Macaca fascicularis: one gene and its partners. The protein of the gene in region 1 interacts with the protein of each later gene in a biochemical or structural test. Links are inferred from orthologs where the notes say so. Each region holds a gene or a part of one and is shown in the gene's direction. Other genes may lie near its edges.

Region 1 (4,424 bases):
TCCCATGCTTTGAGAGGTCTGCGCAGAAGAAAACATGAGAAGAGGAGTGGGGAAGAGCAGAGGGGTTCAGACAGGAAAAGGGGGAGAGCGAGAAGGAGCCTGACCCTGTGGGTCTGCCAGGGCCCTGCATAGTCCAGCTTATACCCTATCCCCTGGCCTCCAAATGCCCAGGAAGCAGACTGCCTCGGAAGACACTACATGTTGAGGTTCACATCACCAAGTCTGCTGTGTCCAAGGCTTGGACTGAGCACTGGAAAAATGACCCAGTGGCCAATTAAACTTTCCACTGGCAGACATTGGATGAAAACTTTATTTTTAAGTGAAATCTTTCCGTTTGAGTAGTGTTTTTTTTTTTTTTTTTTTTTTTTTTTTTTTGAGACAGAGTCTCGCTGTGTCTCCCAGGCTGGAGTGCAGTGGCGTGATCTTGGCTCACTGCAAGCTCCGCCTCCCGGGTTCACGCCATTCTCCCGCCTCAGCCTCCCAAGTAGCTGAGACTACAGGCGCCCGCCACCACGCCCGGCTAGTTTTTTGTATATTTAGTAGAGACGGGGTTTCACCATGTTAGCCAGGATAGTCTCGATCTCCTGACCTCGTGATCCACCCGCCTCGGCCTCCCAAAGTGCTGGGATTACAGGCTTGAGCCACCGCGCCCGGCTAGTAGTTTTTTAATGAAATGAAGCACGTACTGACATGCACTCTGTGGAGAATAGGAAAATGATTAAATTCTGTGCTGCCATTTTGGGTGGCGGCACTCAGAGCCAGCGTCAAGCATTAGGAGGCATTTCAGGGGCTGTACCACCCCCAGAAGGATCTGTCAGGCCCTTCTGCCTGTCTCCCCTCCAGTTCCTGTGGGCTCCTGGAAGGGACAGAGACACAGGAGATTTCTGCAGGTCCAAGCTCTGTCGTTGCTGAAATATGAAACCAAGGACTGTACTGAAAGATGCGGCAAGGCAAATGCTTTGGAGAATGCCAATTCTGCTATGTGATTACACACTCTTCCTTCCTAATCTTTCTGGGCAATACGTATGAAGAAATAGAAACAGTAAATAGTGTCGTAACCATTTCAGGTTTTGTGGCCAAATGAGGTCAGTTCAGATCAGTTCTGCAGTCAAGTGAGTTACAAAAACTTGATGGTGTTCAGAGCTTGTTGGATTGCGGAATTGTGGAGAAGGAAATGCTGGCCTCTGACCGCATTTGTCTAGAGCCCAAAGAGAAGCCTGCCTTTCATTCCCGAGCAGCTCCAGTTCCTCCCTTGCTTCCAGCTCCCCCGCCCCCATCCCCCGTTTTCAGCCATTGGAGGAGGATGTAGGCTAATTAGCCACAGTGCTGCCTCTCCCTCTGCCCAAGCAACTGAGGAAGTCACTGGAAAGGCATGCATGGCACAGAGGCAGGGACCCTGACTCCCTCACCAAACCTCTCTCTCTGAAATAAGGGGTCGCCCTGACACGTGAGTGAGGTTATTTTACGACAATTGCATTGAAGGCCTACTTCAGTACAGCAGAAATAATATATGAATTTTTATTATCTCAAGAAATGATCATGGCAGAGAGTAAGAAAGCATCCTGAAAAGGTCTGGAGGGACGTGCGACGGACGGGCTGTGGTTGACAGCCAGGAGGAGCCAGGATGCACTCAGCTCTGCAAGTAACAACACAACCACGAGGACTGGCAACAGACCCCAAAGTCTGAGTGTTCCCTGCCCAGGGGGACAGGCTGTGCTCTGGGCCAGCGCCTCTGGCTGTGCTGACAGGTTTCCAGCTAGCAGGTCACCACCTCCCCTGGAAGTAAAGGGAGCGAGCTCCATGCGTATGGTGTGTGCTCCTGCTGGCTGTAGCCCTGGGAAAGAGGGGAAGAAATCTTGGTTTCTATATGGCTTGACGTCGAGTTCTTGCTCCTGCAAATTAACCAGGTCAGAAATTGGGGAGGATTCCAGATGACAGCCTCACCAGCCAGGAAGCAACCAAAGGATAGCACAGCTTGACAGGGAGCTGCCAGAAGGTGATCTAATGAAAAAGGGAAGCAAAACTAGAGAACAGTGGTCGGCAGTAGTTGGGAAGAGGTCAGGACATTGGCCACCCCCTAAGCATGGTAGTTCCTGTAGTGTTAAGGCGGCCAGTGTGCAGGAGTCCGCACTCTCTAAGGAGTTAATGATCTGTCTTCTGTTAGTGCTATGCAGCCCAGTGTTTCAGCAGCTTCCCCAGAGTCAGGAAGACCTCAGATGATGGATGGCCTGGCTGAGGTCATCAGTAGAGATAGGCCCCGGACATGGTCTGTCTCCCCATCAGATTCACCAAACCTCAGGGCAGTGGGGTCACAGGGCCAGACAGTGCCCAGCCACGCTGGCATGATGGCAGATTTCCCACAGTGAGGAACTAGGAGTTTGCCCAAGCATGAGGAAAACAAATTTATGAAGTTCATAAATGGAGTTTATAAATGCTATAAACAAGGGGCAGCATGCTTTCATTCTGTGTGGATTTTTTTGTCTGCTTTATTCATATATTTTTGTCAGTTTAATTGAAGTATAATTTACACACAATAAAATTCAACAATTTTAAGAATGCAGTTTATTGAGTTTTGACAAACATAAACAGTCACACCACCCCATACATAATATAGAACAGGGGTTGGCAGATCTGGCCCCCAACCTGTGTGTGTTTTGTACATTTTTAAAGGGTTGTTAAAAAGAAGAAGACAGGGATCATATGTGACCCACAAAGCCAAAAATATTTACTGTCTGGCCTTTTACAGGAAAAGCTTGTTGACCCATTGACCCTGACACTGAACATTCCCATCCCACTTGGAGATCCTTCTGGCCCCTTTGCAGGGATTCCTCCCCTCCCCAGGCAGCCACTGATCTGCTTTCTGTAGATGTAGTTGTGCCTTTTCTAGAATTTCGCATAAATGAAATCATACAGTATGTTGCCTTTTGTGTCTGGCTTGCTTCACTTATATTGCTTTGGAGAGTCATTCTGGATTTTTGCATGTCTCGGTTCTGCACTCCTTTATTTCTGAGTAGCATGGCAAGGTTTGACTCCTGGGGGGAATGGGGGCACTTCACATGTTTTAGCCACCTGCAGATGCAAAGAAGAAGAAAGGGGATCTGCAAGTGTGGCGGTCAGGGCCTGGAGCCCCGGGGTGCCCACTCTCACTGCCCTTGTCTTTGCAGGCATGAACAACCGGGAGGTGCTGGAGCAGGTGGAGCGAGGCTACAGGATGCCCTGCCCGCAGGACTGCCCCATCTCTCTGCACGAGCTCATGATCCACTGCTGGAAAAAGGACCCTGAAGAACGCCCTACTTTTGAGTACTTGCAGAGCTTCCTGGAAGACTACTTTACCGCCACAGAGCCCCAGTACCAACCTGGTGAAAACCTGTAAGGCCCGGGTCTGCGGAGAGAGGCCTTGTCCTAGAGGCTGCCCCACCCCTCCCCATTAGCTTTCAATTCCGTAGCCGGCTGCTCCCCAGCAGCAGAACCGCCCAGGATCAGATTGCATGTGACTCTGAAGCTGACGAACTTCCATGGCCCTCATTAATGACACTTGTCCCCAAATCCGAACCTCCTCTGTGAAGCATTCGAGACAGAACCTTGTTATTTCTCAGACTTTGGAAAATGCATTGTATCGATGTTATGTAAAAGGCCAAACCTCTGTTCAGTGTAAATAGTTACTCCAGTGCCAACAATCCTAGTGCTTTCCTTTTTTAAAAATGCAAATCCTATGTGATTTTAACTCTGTCTTCACCTGATTCAACTAAAAAAAAAAAAGTATTATTTTCCAAAAGTGGCCTCTTTGTCTAAAACAATAAAATTTTTTTTCATGTTTTAACAAAAACCAATCAGGACAGGTGTTTGTTTTTGTTTTCTTTTTTATAAATATGAATATATATATAATATATATGTCCCTGTACATATACAATGTGGGTGCTAATGTGGAGACTGTGGCCAGCCTGGGCCACCAAGCTATGGGACCCAGAGGGAGGATTTTACTGTAAGTCAGCATCAAAGCACTGGTGTTATTCTGAAAACACCAGTGGCCTCATTTTTGGCTTTTGCAAAGCATGAATTTTTTCATTTGGATTGCACTTTCCTGGTTCATGACTGTACCTGTAGATGGCTGTTACTTTGACTCTTTTCAGGAACCGCCCCCCCCAGGCTGAATTTACAAGTTCTGTTAGCAGTATTTGCTTCAACTTACTGCCGTTTGTTCTCAAAACTTAAAAATAAGCAAGCAAATGGCTACCGAGAGAACTGGAAGATGGATACCACACAAACTTCTTGTATAAAAATATGAGTGCTGAAATGTTTCAGACATTTTTAATTTAATAAACCTGTAACCACATTTAAATGATCTAAAACCCATAGCATTGTAGTCATGGCAGCCTGCTAAACTTTCTCATGCAACTAAAATTTCTGGGGGAAATGAGGGTGGG
Region 2 (3,651 bases), on another chromosome or scaffold:
AACAAGACCTCAGTTGCTGTGGTTTAACCCATTTATGCCGGAGGTTGCAAATCTTTTTTGTGAAAAATCAGGCCTTGGTGATGACTTGAGCAGTCAGATAAAAATAACTCCACACACTTAGCGTTCCAGTAATGGAACACTAGGCATAAATAGGTTAAGGCCTTTCGGAGCTCGGCCCTAACTACTTACTTAGGAGAATTCCCACTGCTTTCCAGCAGGCTTTTTCCCCCACCCTAATCAACTTTCCTACATCCAGTATTTAATTCAATGCCGATTGTTTGTAGTCCATGAACCTCAGAAGTGATTCCTTGAATGAGTGAGCAAATACAGCATTATGGCTTATGGAAAACATGAACTGTGTGTTTCTCCTACAGAAATTCACCATGTCTATTCTCAAGGTCCATGCCAGGGAGATCTTTGACTCTCGTGGGAATCCCACTGTTGAGGTTGATCTCTTCACCTCAAAAGGTATGTGCCACCTTCGTTTCCAGAGTTGCTTCTACCTCGCTTCATTTTACAAATTTTCTACAAATGCTGGAGCCTTAGGCAAAAAAAAAAAAAAAATATATATATATATATATATATATAAGCTTTTTTTGTATCTGCATATGCTAGTAGGTTGTGATTCCTGACTGTGAGGGTTGGGGGATTTTCAGGCATGGAGCCAGTGTCTTGCTGCTTCCTGGCTTTTTGTTTGTTTTTTGAGATGTCTTGCTCTGTCACCCAGGCTGGAGTGTGGTGGCATGATTTCAGCTCACTGCAACCTCCGCCTCCCGGGTTCAAGCAATTCTTCTGTCTCAGCCTCCCAAGTAGCTGGGACTACAGGCGTGCACCACCACGCCCGGCAATTTTTGCATTTTTGGTAGAGACGGGGTTTCACCATAGTGGTCAGGCTGGTCTCGAACTCCTGACCCCAGGTGATCCGCCCGCCTCAGCCTCCCAAAGTGCTGGGATTATAGGTGTGAGCCACCACGTCTGACCCTGCCAGCTTCTTGGCTTAAAACCACATAAGTTGACTCCTAAGTCAGTTGAGGTGATAGCTCACTGAAGTAAGGTATTACCATACTTTTCCCTCATGAAGTAAGGTGATACCATGAGGGAAAGAGATGAGGGGAGGGCCAGTAGACGTGAATGTAGCACCCTTATCTCTGTGTCTAGAAATCACTCTTTAGCAAGGATCAAGGACAGTTTTTACCTGTGGGCTCTGGAATAGTGCAGAGGCTCTCATTTTTGCTTGGCTGTCAGTCCCCATAGGAGGAGTTTTCTTATGAAAAAATAACAGAATGGTGAAACTCCTTCTTTTTTTTTTTTTTTTTTTTTTTTTGAGACGGAGTCTCGCTTTGCCGCCCAGGCTTGAGTGCAGTGGCCGGATCTCAGCTCACTGCAAGCTCCGCCTCCCGGGTTTCCGCCATTCTCCTGCCTCAGCCTCCCCAGTAGCTGGGACTACAGGCGCCGCCACCTCGCCCAGCTAGTTTTTTGTATTTTTAGTAGAGACGGGGTTTCACCATGTTAGCCAGGATGGTCTCGATCTCCCGACCTCGTGATCCGCCCGTCTCGGCCTCCCAAAGTGCTGGGATTACAGGCTTGAGCCACCGCGCCCGGCCTAAACTCTTTCTTTTAAGAAGAAAATCCAGTGCCTCTGTAGCCCTGTGTTACTTTCAGCACATGGTGCGATGGACAGAGTGGGTGAGGTTGGCAAAGGAGCTTCAGGCAGAATCACTCAGTGGTGCTAAACTCCCAGAGAACTGCCAGTCGGAGCTGAGTCATCGTCTGTGAGTCACAGGCCTGGCAGTGGAACCCCAGCCCTTCCCTTCCCCTTGCACCTCCCCTACCCCTCAGGAAGAAAGGATCCTTGAGGCCCGACTTCATTGGGCTTCTGAAGAATGCCTGTGTTCTGCCTTTGGCTGCTTGCTGTGTGGGCTCTCAAGCACAGTGGGTTTTCTCTAGGACACTCGCTTTATGGGGAATCCTGAGGGCTCTCACAGGATGCTGAGAATTCCCTTCATCCAATAAGATTGGTTTGCTTAGTGAATGGGTGGAACTTTCTGCTTAGAAATTAATGAACTTTTTTTTTTTTTTTTTTTTTTTTTTGAGAGGGAGTCTCGCTCTGTCGCCCAGGCTGGGGTGCAGTGGCCGGATCTCAGCTCACTGCAAGCTCCGCCTCCTGGGTTTACGTCATTCTCCTGCCTCAGCCTCCCGAGTAGCTGGGACTACAGGCGCCCGCCACCGCGCCCGGCTAGTTGTTTTTTGTATTTTTTAGTAGAGATGGGGTTTCACCATGTTAGCCAGGATGGTCTCGATCTCCTGACCTCGTGATCCGCCCGTCTCGGCCTCCCACAGTGCTGGGATTACAGGCTTGAGCCACCGCACCCGGCCTAATGAACTTTAAAGCAACAAAAGACCCCAGACGCTAAAAGATTGTTGGGAGGCGGACATTTTGAAATTGAAATGAATGGAACTTTCTTACATTTATTAAACTGCATTTTATTATGTTTATTCCTTCCCCCCACATCTATCCTGTTTGCCAGTTTCCAGTTGGGCATAGAACTCCCAAAATAGGATTTAGCATTGTCCAAACTGAAGCAAATGAGCTAGATACTCTTCCTGAACCAGTTAAATTCCCTTGATTTTATGCTTAACATCAATATAGTACCTGCCTGGGTGTGATGCTCACGCCTGTAAACCCAGCATTTTGGGAGACCGAGATGGGCAGATACTTGAGGTCAGGAGTTCAAGACCAGCCTGGCCAACATGGTGAAACGCTGTCTCTACTGAAAATACAAAAATTAGCCGGGCGTGGTGGCATGCTCCTATAATCCCAGCTACTGGGGAGGCTGATGAAGGAGAATTGCTTGAACCCAGGAGATGGAGGTTGCAGTAAGCCGAGATCACCCCATGCACTCCAGCCTGGGGGATACAGCGAGACTCTAAAAAAAAAAAAAAAATACCAGAACATCTTCAGTTCCCTGTGTGCCTTGCATTGGATTTCTCTTGGGCAGTGCTGCTGGGGTAATCCACAGGGCACCAACGCGAGCTTGTGAGGTACACATATTTTCCTGGGTCGGAATCTACATTTTAACAAGACCCCCAGCTGGCATGTAGGCTCTGCTATAGAGCACTTTCTTTCTGCTAGAGGAATCAGTCATCTTTGCAGTAAAGTCTGCAGTACAGGATCATAAATATGTGAGAGGCACGAAGAACAGACCAGAGTGTTTAATTCACGCAGGTGGTAGGAGGAAGAAACAGCTCCCTGATGACAAATGCATTTGTGGGCGGGAGGGGACTTGGGATTGTGCTGGAACTGGATTTCTGAATTGCTACTATGACTTTTTTTCTTCTCATCCAGGTCTCTTCAGAGCTGCTGTGCCCAGTGGTGCTTCAACTGGTATCTATGAGGCCCTAGAACTCCGGGACAATGATAAGACTCGCTATATGGGGAAGGGTAAGCCTTAGAACCCACAGCCCATGGCCTCCCTGCCTCCAGCCCCACTCCTGGCCTTGCCCAGTCCTGTCCTTCTCTCTGGGTGGGGCTTGCATTTGCAGGTTTATGGCAGGTAAACCTACCGTAACCCATGATGTTGATGGAAGCAGTGCACCACCACGTGGACAGGAAAGTTGGTGTGTGGATTACAGGGTTCCTGAGCCTGCATG
Region 3 (2,838 bases), on another chromosome or scaffold:
GAGACCTGGAGCTGATTATGACATGACCCGTGCCCATAAGGAGCTCATTCTTTTCAGTCATTCCAAAGTCCCTTAGGTGATTGGGGGCACAGATCCAAGAGGTGAGAGCTGAGAAGGTGAGGAATGAGGACTTGTTTTAGTCAGCGCTTTCTTGGTTTTTTGGAAGAGCTTCACTCTGCTTTGTCCAAGAGTATAAACAGGAGCAAGAAGGGAGACTCACTCCTGGCACTTGTAGACTTTCAATATGTGCCTGTAAAGTGGAGTGAAATGATATGGTATGGGCACTCCCATTATAAACTCCCAAAAAAATAAATCATAAATAATGGAATAAATATCACAGAAAGTGGTAGGCTATTGTCCCTGGAATTATTTAGGCAGAAATTGTAGAATGATCCGGTCACATCAGCAGACACTTACTCAATACCTGATGTGCACCAATTTGGGGATGTGAAAATGAGTAGCATATGGCTCTTGCCCTCAGGGAGCTTGACATCTAATAGGGAAAGACAGGCATTTATGATAATTTCAGTACTGCAGAGATTTAGGTTATGTTCATGACGTTGTGGGGATACAAAGAAAAGGAAACTGTACCCCAAACTGAGGGGCTGAATAATTCTTACTGCAGGTGAGATGATGGACCAGATGGTCCCTAAGATCCTTCCCAACTTTAGAATTTTAGAGTTCCTTGGATTTGGCTTTTTTCTTCAGGAAAGGACTTCAAAGCCTAGCAGTTTGGGTGCTAGTTCTGAAGATAATAAAATCTTTGTGCTCCAGAGAGCTAATATTTTCTCAATAATTTCTTACTGCAATGGATTAGGCGACTATACTATTGTTCTAATTGTGTGGATGACAAAATAGGACAACAATGTTGAGGAAATTCTGTGATGGATCAAGTTCTGACCCCTCAGCCAGTTCTATACAGGCTGTAATTCTGAGTAGAACATTTGTTCAAGGAAGGGCCCACAGTTTTGCCTTAGAAACTTAGTTTGTTGGATGCATGACTATTCCTGGCTGAAAGCTCCTTTCGGATTTATTTCAGGCAAGCCCAACTCAAGGTCCATGCCTCTGGAATGGGAAGACACCTATGGAATTGTCCTGCTTTCTGGAGTGAAATATAAGAAGGGTGGCCTTGTGATCAATGAAACTGGGCTGTACTTTGTATATTCCAAAGTATACTTCCGGGGTCAATCTTGCACCAACCTGCCCCTGAGCCACAAGGTCTACATGAGGAACTCTAAGTATCCCCAGGATCTGGTGATGATGGAGGGGAAGATGATGAGCTACTGCACTACTGGGCAGATGTGGGCCCACAGCAGCTACCTGGGGGCAGTGTTCAATCTTACCAGTGCTGATCATTTATATGTCAATGTATCTGAGCTCTCTCTGGTCAATTTTGAGGAATCTCAGACATTTTTTGGCCTATATAAGCTCTAAGGAAAGCACTTTGGGATTCTTTCCATTATTATTCTTTGTTATAGGCACTGAAAATGTTGTATTCAGTGAGGGTCTCCTTACATGCATTTGAGGTCAAGTAAGAAGACGTGAACCAAGTGGACCTTGAGACCACAGGGTTCAAAAGGTCTGTAGCTCCTCAACTCACCTAACGTTTATGAGCCAGACAAATGGAGGAATATGACGGAAGAACGTAAAACTCTGGGCTGCCATGTGAAGAGGCAGAAGCATGAAAAAGCAGCCACCAGGTGTTCTACACTCATCTTAGTGCCTGAGAGTATTTGGGCACATTGAAAAGGACACCTTTTAACTCACCTCTCAGGGTGGGCCTTGCTACCTCAAGGGGGACTGTCTTTCAGATACATGGTTGTGACCTGAGGGTTTAAGGGATGGAAAAGGAGGACTAGAGGCTTGCATAATAAGCTAAAGAGGCTGAAAGAGGCCAATGCCCCACTGGCAGCATCTTCACTTCTAAACGCATCTCCTGAGCCATCAGTGAAGCTAACATAGAAACAAGAGAGATATTCTGGGGACTCATTCCATTCCTAACACAGCCTGTGTATTTCCAGTGCAATTGTAGGTGTGTGTGTGTGTGTGTGTGTGTGTGTGTGTCTAAAGAGAGAATATAGATATTGTGAAGTACATATTAGGAAAATATGGGTTGCATTTGGTGAAGATTTTGAATGCTTCCTGACAATCAACTCTAATAGTCTTTAGAAATAATTGATTGTCAGCTACTGAAGATGTTTTCCTATAATATAATAAATATTTATATATATGTTGTGCTTTTTGGGAAAAGAAAACATATAATAAAAAGTATATGTTAGGATACAAATAATTTTTAGAATTTACTAATACTTGAATTTTTTTGCTTATTACTTCTTTCCTCCATGGTTTCTTCATTCATTATGATGTCAGACAACTTTAAGAAGAATTTACTGGGGTGAGAAGAATTATGAAGCAAATCTTTCTGCCTTTGCCAAGGCTTCCTTCTCTATATATATTCTCTTTCCTCTTCACCTCCCAGAGTTTCCGTTACCAATATTGTGACCAGTGTTAAGCTTACCCAACTTTCCATGGATTTGATGAGAAATTATATTTTCCTGAAGGCAGAACTACGGCACAGTGGAAAGGGCACACACTTTGGACTAAAAAACTTAGATTTGAATCTTTGTTCTTCCATGTACTGCCTAGGTAATCACTGGTTAGGTCACTTGACCTTCCTTGAACAAAAAAAGAGCTGAAAGTATCAGACATATAGAATATCAAAAAATGGTTTCTACCACTACTAAGCCATCCTATTAGAGCCACTTCATTCTCCAGAGGCCACTGATCTGTGGGATCCATGTAAACACCTTGTTTCTTGTATTCTCATGCTTGTCATTC

The links.
Region 2: of the proteins of FYN (region 1) and ENO1, one has a biochemical effect on the other in vitro, tested with the Homo sapiens proteins (2 studies listed by BioGRID). The link is inferred for Macaca fascicularis from reciprocal best matches to the Homo sapiens genes FYN and ENO1.
Region 3: the proteins of FYN (region 1) and FASLG form a complex in vitro, tested with the Homo sapiens proteins (4 studies listed by BioGRID and IntAct, with this or other methods). The link is inferred for Macaca fascicularis from reciprocal best matches to the Homo sapiens genes FYN and FASLG.

The regions. Positions count from the first base shown.
Region 1 is NC_088378.1:15,714,441-15,718,864, reverse strand, and holds the end of FYN (tyrosine-protein kinase Fyn), read left to right. Parts: intron 1-3,164; coding exon 3,165-3,373; 3' UTR 3,374-3,826; downstream 3,827-4,424. UniProt on the Homo sapiens protein: Non-receptor tyrosine-protein kinase that plays a role in many biological processes including regulation of cell growth and survival, cell adhesion, integrin-mediated signaling, cytoskeletal remodeling, cell motility, immune response and axon guidance.
Region 2 is NC_088375.1:225,985,717-225,989,367, forward strand, and holds part of ENO1 (alpha-enolase), read left to right. Parts: intron 1-374; 5' UTR 375-383; coding exon 384-468; intron 469-3,346; coding exon 3,347-3,442; intron 3,443-3,651. UniProt on the Homo sapiens protein: Glycolytic enzyme the catalyzes the conversion of 2-phosphoglycerate to phosphoenolpyruvate. In addition to glycolysis, involved in various processes such as growth control, hypoxia tolerance and allergic responses.
Region 3 is NC_088375.1:30,271,100-30,273,937, forward strand, and holds the end of FASLG (tumor necrosis factor ligand superfamily member 6), read left to right. Parts: intron 1-1,039; coding exon 1,040-1,434; 3' UTR 1,435-2,287; downstream 2,288-2,838. UniProt on the Homo sapiens protein: Cytokine that binds to TNFRSF6/FAS, a receptor that transduces the apoptotic signal into cells. Involved in cytotoxic T-cell-mediated apoptosis, natural killer cell-mediated apoptosis and in T-cell development.